Kluyveromyces lactis: one gene and its partners. The protein of the gene in region 1 purifies or fractionates together with the protein of each later gene. This does not show direct contact. Links are inferred from orthologs where the notes say so. Each region holds a gene or a part of one and is shown in the gene's direction. Other genes may lie near its edges.

Region 1 (3,345 bases):
TGGTCATGATAATGTTTTGTTAATTCTGTCCAAATGGAGAAGTGGTAGTGACGCGAGATGGGTACCCATAGTTGATACCAATTTAGAACTTTGGAAGATGTCAGGGGGTAAGCATCCGAAGAACGTCCACGTTTGGCCATTAGGATTAAACTTCGATACATTTTCGTATTTATTATTGAAGGGGAAGAACGCATGGCCAGATATCCCAATGACCGTTCCTACAGAAATGGAAGTCAGAATCCCAGTTGTATCAAAATCCGAGCTTCAAAAGACACAAGACGATAATCGTAACGACAGCAGCGATGTGGAAGATATTGATAACAGTAATGGTGTCGAAATTCCAATGTACCTAGCAGCAGAAGAGGAATTTCTACGCTCCAAGATACTAAGTGATTTACTAAAAGACACGATGGATAATGAAGGTGAGATATACGGAAATGAAACAGATCTATTACAGCATCTGGTAGCAACACATGATAAGTCCTTACTACGACTTTTAGCTTATGTCTGTTCCGAGCAAGATGTTAACAAGGCCGTTTCAATCGTCAACGAACTGAAGCAAGATAAGGCCCTATCTGCTGCAAGAAAAATTGCAGAAAGAGCTGAACTACTTCCACTAGTAAGAAAAATCAACACGATTATTGAGGCCAAATTTGAGGCCGATTTCAATAATATATGATAATCCCCTGTTCTTCTTATCTGGACTAGAATAAGTATTGTCAGTTTAAATAATAATTGATTTTCCGATCCGTGCATTGACGTTCATTTTCTGCCGTAATGTAAATTAAACTAAGTAATTCTAGCAATACCAATGAAATCAGGCATATAGGTCGTTGAATCGAGTAAAGTCTTCCAAACTATTATTTAATTCTGTTGCAAGTTCATGCATTCTTCAATTTTTGTCACTTTTCAAGTGGTGTCGTTTCTTTTACAAATTGGCGATACTGAAAAAAAAATTGTACATCTGAACCAACATCATTGAAACAGGCGATGAGCTGCAACTAAACCAGACGAGACAGCAACCAGAGGGCCACCAAGTACACCATGGCTAGATCTAGTACAAGCAATGTCTCAAAAAAACGTAATAGGGATTCTGTCGAAGAGGTAGATGAGGAAATCACGGATATTTCTTCTGATGAAGGTGATGTCCAAGATGAATCCAATGATGGCGATGAGGTAGCAGAATACTTGGAATCTGAAGACGAGTTTGAAGGCGAAAACCCTGCTGATAAGAGAAGAAGATTGGCTAAACAATATTTAGAGAATTTAAAGGCTGAAGCTGAAGATATTGGCGATTCTCTGGCGACCGCAAGCACTGAACAGGACCGTCAAACACAATTAGAGGATTACAATAACTTTGATGCTCGTGACTTGGACAGAGATATCATTGCTTCCAGATTGAAACAAGATGTTGCAGAGCAACAAGGGCGTATCTATAGATGGATTTCAAATAAGCTTTTGATAGGTGAATCCAGAACAACGTTTACAAGAGTAGGCGAAAATAATCTAACATGTATTTCGTGTTATCAACCCTCAGTTAACAAGTTTTCTCATAAAGATGTTCAAAATAAGAGCAAGGACAAAATATTTGCTTACACTGTTAGCAAGGACATGCAATTAACAAAATATGATGTTACTGATTTCAAAGCTAGACCAAAAAAAGTGAAATATGTTAAAGGTGGTAGAAAATACATACCGGAAGGTAAATTTGAGTACGAGAATGTGACAGAAGGTCATTACGATGAAATCTTAACGGTGGCAGCTTCTCCTGATGGTAAATACGTAGTTAGTGGTGGTCGTGACCGTAAACTGATAGTATGGAGTACCGAATCTTTAGCCCCTGTGAAAATTATTCCAACCAAAGATCGTAGAGGTGAGGTTTTAGGATTAGCATTCAAGAAGAATTCGGATCAATTATTCGCAGCATGTGCCGATTACAAAATCAGAACGTATGCTATTAACCAGTTTTCTCAACTGGAAATATTATACGGTCATCAGGATTTGGTTATTGATATCTCTGCCCTAAATATGGAGCGTTGTGTGACAGTGGGGTCCAGGGATCGTACCGCTATGTTGTGGAAAATAGCTGACGAATCCAGATTGACATTCAGAGGTGGTGATGATCCTGAAAGACTGAGGAAAAAATGGTTGAAGAACCAACAATTGTCCGCAGAAGGCGGAGAAGATATGCATGAACAGACCCCACCTCACTTTTATGGCGAGGGAAGTATCGATTGTATTAGCATGGTAGATGATTCACATTTCGTTACTGGCTCTGATAACGGAAATATATCATTATGGTCTTTATCCAAAAAGAAACCTCTTTTCACCGTTAGAACTGCTCATGGTGTTGTACCATTAGTTGAGGATAAAAAAATCTCTGGGGAAGTGAGCGATGAATTACGCAATGCACAATTACAAGGTGGATCCATTGCCCAACCATTTTGGATAACATCATTATACGCCGTTCCATATTCTGATATTTTCATTTCAGGATCCTGGAATGGAACCCTGAAGGTATGGAAAATCAATGAGAACTTAAGAGCATTTGAACTATTAGGAGACTTACCTAACTGTAAAGGTGTGGTAACCAAAATTCAAGCCGTAGAATCCGGCAGAACCGGTAGAGAAACCTTCAGAATTCTAGCAAGTGTCAGTAAAGAACATAGATTAGGAAGATGGATTAGCAAGGTACCAGGTGCAAGAAATGGTATCTTTTCTGCTGTGATAGAACAAACCGGATTCTAGTTAATCTTATCAATAGAAAAATCTCCTGTATAGTAAAAAGAAGAATACTTTAATAAAGCCGAAATACATTAGTAATTGTTACAAGGGTATATATTTATATATAGAGAGCTCTAACCGATCAATGATGTAGAGAACTAGGAAAGGATTAATAGAAATCATTGTGACATGATTTTGAGTAGTGTCTTTCATTGTCAGCCATGATAAAATAAGGTGTTAGAGAACGAATTTGAGAACAGATAAGATTTAATTCACATAGCCAGCGACGTAGAGAATTAAATGCGGGAACATCAAAGGAATAGCTCAAAGGATTAAAGGAAAAGATCGGGAAAAGTCAAATGGATTTTTTTATTTTAAGTATTAAGCGTTCCTCATGTTCTTGTAAACAAGCAAGGAACGAAAGAGTAATAAACAACACAAATCGTCTCAAGAGAAAGCAAACAACTCCCAAAGTAAAGGAATCATAGGAAGGCCAAAGCAATACCAGCGGCAGCACCAATCAAAGCGTCGTTAATTCCAACTTGGTAAGCAGCACCAGTAGACTCTGAAGTGCCTGAAGTGGAAGCCCCGGTAGAAGAATCACTTGTCAAGGAAGTCAAA
Region 2 (3,632 bases), on another chromosome or scaffold:
TTCCACTCCTCGAAGCAGATTCCTCACAAATCCATCAATAAATCCTCCGAAATGTACTTCCAAATTCCTCACATTTTGCTCATTACCATCTTCGGTTCTCATCTTGTTAAGATTCGACTCTATATTTGCGATGAACCCTGAAATCAACCGAACAATGCGATCCCCCACGATTTCCTGTTTCTTCAGCGGCAAGATTTTGACAGTCATTTTGATAAACCAATAATGAAACACATCTGATATCTCTTGCTCCACACATTTCAAATAAATCCTGTATAAGACAGCTACATGACGTCTGTGACCAGCATAACTCTTCTGCGCCACCTGGAAAACCTCCGCTATAGAATTCAGAACACGACGATTTGTAGGAGATTCTCCATCCTGAACATCCATATCAAACAATTGCACCCTTTTGGTCAATAATACCACGAGTATACACCAGGGAAAGGCTGCTATGAGGTTGCCGCCGATGTTTCTTCCACTTTCCTTTTCCTCTTTGTTTATTAGTTTGTTTATGTGAAGAGAAGATCCAATTGTAAACAAATCTCGTTTTCCCAATAGATCTAATATATCACGTGATATGATCATACTGTACGGTGTTGAAGCTAAACTAGTTTCTTTTTGAAAAATTTCAGCGTTAAGAGCACACAAGCTTAGAACAGAAGCTCATCTCATCGGATAACAAAGTCGTATATTTCTATCTAGTCAGTGAAGTTTTTTGATTGACATCAGCCTACAGTTTGTCAATCTTTTGTTTCATTCTAATACATTAGCTTTTGTTCTCTGATACAGGTTTAAGGTCCTCAATTTATAGAACACATTTGATCATGACTGATACTGGGAAGAAACAGGTAGTGCATCGATCCAGGTTTGTGCAGTTTACACCTGGTAATATAACGGCTCTTGCATTTTCACACAAAAGTACTGATAAAGCGGCACCGCAAGAGCTAAGACTGGCTATTGGTAGATCCAATGGTAATATTGAGATCTGGAATCCAAGAGATGATTGGGTACAAGAGTTCGTGATCTTGGGAGGTGAAGGAAGATCCATTGAAGGTCTTTCCTGGTGCAGTATTCGTGGAGAGCCTTTGAGACTATTTTCGATCGGTGGCTCCACTGTAGTTACAGAATGGGATTTGACAACCGGGTTGCCGTTAGTAAATTACGATTGTAACTCTGGTGTGATTTGGTCCATTGCAATGAGCAACGATATGAATAAGCTAGCGGTCGGATGTGATAACGGCAGTGTAGTACTTATTAACATCAGTGGTGGTAAAGGTGTTCTTGAGCATGAGAGCATACTTACAAGGCAAGAATCTCGTGTCTTATCGTTGACATGGACAGCCAATGATGAATCTTTGGTCGCTGGTTGTTCTGATGGAAGGATTAGAATATGGTATACTAAGGAGCAAGACGAAAACAAGGGAAGACTATTACATACTATGAAAGTGGATAAATCGAAGAAAGAATCTACACTCGTATGGTCTGTGTTGTATCTAGCTAAACAGAACCAAATTGTGTCTGGTGATTCTACTGGGTCGGTCAAATTCTGGGACTTAAACTACGCAACATTGACTCAATCTTTCAAGGTTCATGATGCCGATGTTCTATGTCTGGCTACTGATCTGGATAATTCACAATTGTTCACTAGTGGTGTTGATAGAAAGATTTTCCAATTCTCTTACATCGATACAGGAAAGAGCATGAAATGGATCAGTACTTCAAACAGATTATTCCATTCCAATGATGTTAGATCTATGTCCTCTTATCAATGTATGGGATCCGACTTCCTAGTGTCTGGTGGTATTGAAAAGTCTCTTGTCATGTGCTCAATGTCCTCTTTCGCTGAAGGAAATTATAGAAAGATGCCACTAGTTACCCCATTCCATAAGAGCATCCTGGTCAACAAACAACAAAGACTATTGGTGATGTGGCAGGATAATATCGTGAAGATATGGTATATTGGCGAAGACGTCAATGAGCCTAAGAACTACAAATTAGTTAGTAAATTGGTTTTGAAGGATGAACAAAACATCCAAACCTGTGCACTATCAACTGACGGACAAGTTTTATTAGTGGGAAGACTAAATACTACCAAAGTTTTCCATTTACAACCAACAGACAACAAATTGAAAGTAACAAAGTTGGACAATGAGTTTTTGTTGAGAACTGGTTGCAAATTTGCTAAGTTCATTGATGATTCTAGGTTAATAATGTGTTCACAATCTGATGAAATAGTTAGAATTGACCTTGAAGAGGATGACGACGAAAAAACCGTAACTATTGAGTTACCTGAAGCGAACTCAACGAAATCCAGCAATAAACTATCATATTTGAATGCAGTGAACCATTTAGATGCAAATGAACGTTACGCTGTTGCGTCTAGAGGTACCGGTGCTCTAGACTTAATAGATTTGACAACAAACAGTAGTAAAGCTTTAATTCGCATGAACAACTTCATCACTGCACTGTGCATCACACCAAGAGAGACTGTAGTAGTAGTGACATCAGAAAATAAAATATACGAGTTCAATTTGGAATCCGAGAAGGATCAACTACTCACTGACTGGTTCAAAGCCAATCATGAAAACCTCCCAAGGCAATTTACTTCCTTGAAAGAGAGATGCACAGGAATATTCTTAGATGAAATGGATGAGCATAAGGTATGGTTCTGGGGATCTAACTGGTTGGTTAACATCAACATGTCATTAGACTTGCCAGTTAGCAAAAGAAAGAAGCAAAAGAAGCGTGACCGTGACGGATTAACTATTTCCACTGACGGTCTACAGGCAGACGTCGATGAGGATGATGAAGACGATGAAGAACTCGAAGTTAAGGAAGATTATCTCTTAAAAACTCAGAGAGCGCAAGATGTCACCTCCAAGAAGAGATCTGATAAGGCGTTTTTCTATACCGATAAGTATAGACCTCTATTATTCGCTGGAAAGATCGCAAGTGACCAATTAATCATTGTGGAAAGACCAAACTTCTTGATCTCCCAACCTCCTGCATTTGAATTAGAAAAGTTAGTATTCTAATTTATAATTTCTGTACATTATTATAAACTCGATCTTCATCGCGAAATTGATTTTTAACATAGGGTCATCATTCCGCCGCATATCATCTGTGTAGTGTTCTTTCTGCTACCTTAATACCAATGAATGTCAAGAGCGAACTGCAAGCGAACATTTTATCAGACCAGACGTCGATTACAACATCAGGAATAGTGAATTTCTCACCCAAGAGTTGATTGACCTGTTTTGAGACATCATATGGTAAATTGGAGCGAATCATCAAGATAGTGGCAAGGATGTACACACCTGTCAACTCACACACAGCGAGGTTTTTGATGATCGAAGGGGGTTTCTTGGTATAGAATGCATCCTTATTGCTCGTAGGAAGCTCAGAGCCATTGGTACTCTGCATTGCAGATAACGCTAATAATTGTAGTTTGACAGGCAGTAATGTCAAAAGATAAGAGATTGTCGTAGTGACAGTAGAAAGAGAGCACACGAACAACGAGATGGACAATATCAAGGATATCTGTTTGATTAACGAATCCATGTCATTTTGATGTTCTAATCTTAGAACCAAGAAGTCAAACATATTGGCGAATGTGACAGCTAAGGGGTCCT
Region 3 (3,759 bases), on another chromosome or scaffold:
GGACAACACAGTGGCTTGAGAGTAATCACCTTTTAGGATACTTAATTCCATTTGTTCAAGGATAAATTCAATCTTTTCATACATCTCCATGGACCCATACGTTTCCACTTGCAATTCACATAACAAGTCAGTGGCCTCATCGATCTTGTTCTCAGATCTTCTGATATGAACCAAATCTCTAGTGACTCTAGCTCTTTCAACTTCCACGAAAATCTTGTTCTCAGTCACGGTTCTTATCGTCTCAATAGTTTTAATCTTGGTGTCCAAATCCTTCAGGTCTTCCAAATATTTCATCACAGACTGAATCATATACTGCACAGATAACTTCAATTGACCATGCTTTTTTGATAGAAGCATGATTTGGTCGTTAAGTAGGTCCCATTGGTCTGCTGCGACCAAAACATCTACGATCTTAGTCAAGACTCTTTTCGAAGATGCTAAATCAGAAGATTGTCTAGTCTTCTTTTCCAACACTAACAATTGATCCAAAGCACTGGAATAATCATTCTTGGCCAAAATCTCAAGCTTAGGAAATTCAGCGTCCAAGATTTCGGTATAATCTTTCTCTGCCTTAATTGGAGCGTCTCTGGACATATTTTACGATATAATTTATACTCTTTTCTCTTTGCTCTGCCTGCTCAACTTAAACCGAAATGCAATACAATCAATTTCTCTGTATCCGTCCTGTATTCAAACCACACAAACTTACAGTCTCAGAACCGACACTGTAACCTGCTGTACCTCTGTTCGCGGTTATTTCGTATATATTTGCCACCTGTAACTGATTTCCTTTATTTCTCATAATGCCTTTAAAATGACAAGCTACGGTAAAAGCTTCCTCAGTAACAGTAACAATCGAATCTTAGAAAAACGTGACTTCATCATCGTTCGTAATGATTGTGCTGGATATTCGGGTAACCTTGATTTGATTTTATTGTGCGGGTAACTATTTTCTTTCTTTTCGGTGAAAAAGCATTAAAAGTTTGACAGAAGATGAATTGAGCGATGAGATGAGATGAGATGGGATTAAATCAAAGGCTGTCAGAAGGTTCAGTATCTTGGCCGATTGTATTGAATTGACTTGCATCATCAGTTGTGTTTAGACCATTCTTCTTGTCTGTGGGCAAATAGGTTACAAAGTCGAATAATAATGGGTGGTTCACAGTTGAAGAACTTGAAGGCCGCTTTAAAGGCTAATGGGTTGACTGGTCAGACCAATGTCAAGAAGAGTTCTAAGAAGAAGGGCAAATCTCCCAGGGAGTTTGATAGAGAAGAAAGACAGAAGACTATTGAAAGAATTAGGGAACAGTTTAATCCGTTTGATGTGAAAACAAATCGTAATAAAAAGGTTGGTGTGATGAGGGAATCTGCAGCTAAACTTGCAGTAGGTAAGCCGGGAATCACTAAACAAGCCGGTGAAGATCAACGTAAAATGTTCTACGAAGCCAAGAAGTCCAGCAAGAACAGAAGCGGTGGTGTCTTAGATAAACGTTTTGGTGAAAAGGATAAGAATTTGACTTCCGAGGAGATCATGTTGGAACGTTTCACAAAGGAAAGACAACGTCAATCTTCGACGAAAAGATCGTTATTCAATTTAGACGATAGCGATGGTGGTGAGGATGAAAACGTGTACGGTGAAAAGTTGACTCATTATGGTAAGTCTCTTTCCTTGGAAGATGATTTCGATGAAGGTGATTTGGGGTTACAGCATTCTGATTCGGAGGACTTCAGGTTGAAACAAGCTGGTAAAAGAAATATGGCGGATCAATACGGAGATGAAGGGTTAGGTGATGACGCTTTGCAAGAGCCAGCAAGAAAGAAGACTAAGGCAGAAGTCATGCAAGAGGTCATTGCTAAATCCAAATTTTACAAACATGAAAGACAAAAGGCGCAGGAGAAATTGGTCCAAGATATCGAAGGCCTTGATGACGATTTCGAAAGCATTATGTCTGAATTAAGGACGTTACCAAAGACTAAACCTTCTCAAACTGAGATTTCGACCTCCACAGACATCGCTCCAGATTATGATATCAAGGTGAAAGAGTTAGTCTTGGAGAAAAGAGCTGCCCCTGCAGATAGAACTAAAACAGATGAAGAGATTAAGAAAGAATATGAGGACAAACAAAAGGAATTGGAGCAGAAAAGGCTTGATCGTATGAACGGTATTTTCAACATTGAAGATCAAAAAGATGCTGGTGTTGAAGATTTGGGAGAAGAGTTTTGGGAAGATAGCGACTCTGAGGAGGGCGAATATGGTGAATATATCAAAGCAATTCCTGACTCGGATGACGACGTTGATTTCGAGAAGGATAACAATGATGACAATGAATACGACGCTACATCAAATGGTAGACCTTCAGCAAGAGTTATACCTTCTGTTCCATGTCCTCAAATTCACGATGACTTACTAAATTTCTTGAAATCTTATCCTATCGAAGAGCATCCATCTTTAGTTAAAAGAATAGTAAAAACATACCAACCAAAATTGGCTGAGGGAAACAAAGAAAAATTGGGCAAATTCACTGCTGTTTTGCTCAGACATATACTTTTCTTGGCTGAAGAAGATTACTCGGTTAATGTGAAAGAAATTGCATCATTACAAAACGAACTAGTAAGCATTCTAAAGACTCTTTCAGAAAAGTTTACCATTCCACTATCAGAGGATTGTAGAAATATCATCTCAGATATTCAGACTAGATTCAAAGAATCCCAGTTCTATGGACTATCTCCATCAGATTTGGTATTTTTCTCTGTTGTTGGTATGTTGTTCTCCACTTCGGATCACTATCATTTAGTCATTACTCCCTGTCTGCTTCTAATTGCAGAGTTTTTGGAACAAATTAGGTTCAATTCTCTTCAAAAATTAATATTTGGTTCGATACTGGTTAGAATCGCCATCCAGTATCAACGTATAAGCAAGCGTTATATTCCTGAGTTAACATACTTCTTGCAGACATCTTTGCGTTCTCTAATACCGAGTACCAAAGGGGAAACATTAGAAAACAAAGAAAAACAGGAGGACAATTTATCAATAGTAGGCTCGGATATTAACTGGTCCAAGGTCGCCCCTTCTTTAGAATTACACTCATTATTTTCCGAGGATCTAGAAAAGCAAGAATCTATCAAACTGTCCGTGCTGGTCAACAATCTAGAATCAATTGATTGGTGCATAACGAACATCTGGAAAGATCTTACTGCCTTCCCAGAAATCATTAATCCCTTCAAAGACATACTAAACGTGGCTGCCGAAGTATATCCTGGTACTTCTAAACCAAAACAATTAGTGGAAAAGATCGAAAAGCTATTGAAATTCCAAGAACGTCTGCCATTGACGTTGCAACAGCATAAACCACTGGCGATTCCATCAAATACGCCTAAATTCGAAGAGAACTTCAACCCAGATAAGAAGTCGTATGATCCAGATAAGACCAGAAGTGAGTTGAACAAGATGAAGGCGCAATTGAAGAAGGAACGTAAGTTCACTATGAAAGAAATACGTAAAGACACTAGATTCGAGGCAAGACAAGGCATTGAAGAAAAGAAGAAGGAGTACGCCGATTACCATTCCAAGATGGCACGTATTGTCAATCAAATCAGTACTGAAGAAGGTGCTGAGAAAAACAAATATGAGCGTGAAAAGAAGCTCCGTAATACCAAACGTTAACTGCATATTATATAATCTATACTCAACATTAATAAACTTTATCATCGATTGCGATCTGATTTTTTGTAATATTGGTTTAATAGGCCCATAACACC

The links.
Region 2: the proteins of RRP9 (region 1) and UTP4 purify together in Saccharomyces cerevisiae (affinity purification with mass spectrometry; 4 studies listed by BioGRID). This does not show direct contact. The link is inferred for Kluyveromyces lactis from reciprocal best matches to the Saccharomyces cerevisiae genes RRP9 and UTP4.
Region 3: the proteins of RRP9 (region 1) and NOP14 purify together in Saccharomyces cerevisiae (affinity purification with mass spectrometry, with the first as the bait; 3 studies listed by BioGRID). This does not show direct contact. The link is inferred for Kluyveromyces lactis from reciprocal best matches to the Saccharomyces cerevisiae genes RRP9 and NOP14.

Annotation. Positions count from the first base shown.
Region 1 is NC_006038.1:970,164-973,508, reverse strand, and holds RRP9 (ribosomal RNA-processing protein RRP9), read left to right. Parts: upstream 1-1,044; coding exon 1,045-2,748; downstream 2,749-3,345. Other genes in the region: chromatin-binding protein CTF4, read left to right, coding at 1-679; KLLA0_B11055g (uncharacterized protein), read right to left, coding at 3,207-3,345. UniProt on the Saccharomyces cerevisiae protein: Involved in nucleolar processing of pre-18S ribosomal RNA. Required for efficient pre-rRNA cleavage at sites A0, A1 and A2, and biosynthesis of 18S rRNA.
Region 2 is NC_006040.1:1,131,470-1,135,101, reverse strand, and holds UTP4 (small subunit rRNA maturation protein UTP4), read left to right. Parts: upstream 1-824; coding exon 825-3,035; downstream 3,036-3,632. Other genes in the region: condensin subunit YCG1, read right to left, coding at 1-585; KLLA0_D13200g (uncharacterized protein), read right to left, coding at 3,118-3,632. UniProt on the Saccharomyces cerevisiae protein: Involved in nucleolar processing of pre-18S ribosomal RNA. Required for optimal pre-ribosomal RNA transcription by RNA polymerase I together with a subset of U3 proteins required for transcription (t-UTPs).
Region 3 is NC_006039.1:1,426,601-1,430,359, forward strand, and holds NOP14 (snoRNA-binding rRNA-processing protein NOP14), read left to right. Parts: upstream 1-1,150; coding exon 1,151-3,664; downstream 3,665-3,759. Other genes in the region: proteasome regulatory particle lid subunit RPN5, read right to left, coding at 1-594; autophagy protein ATG9, read right to left, coding at 3,706-3,759. UniProt on the Saccharomyces cerevisiae protein: Involved in nucleolar processing of pre-18S ribosomal RNA. Has a role in the nuclear export of 40S pre-ribosomal subunit to the cytoplasm.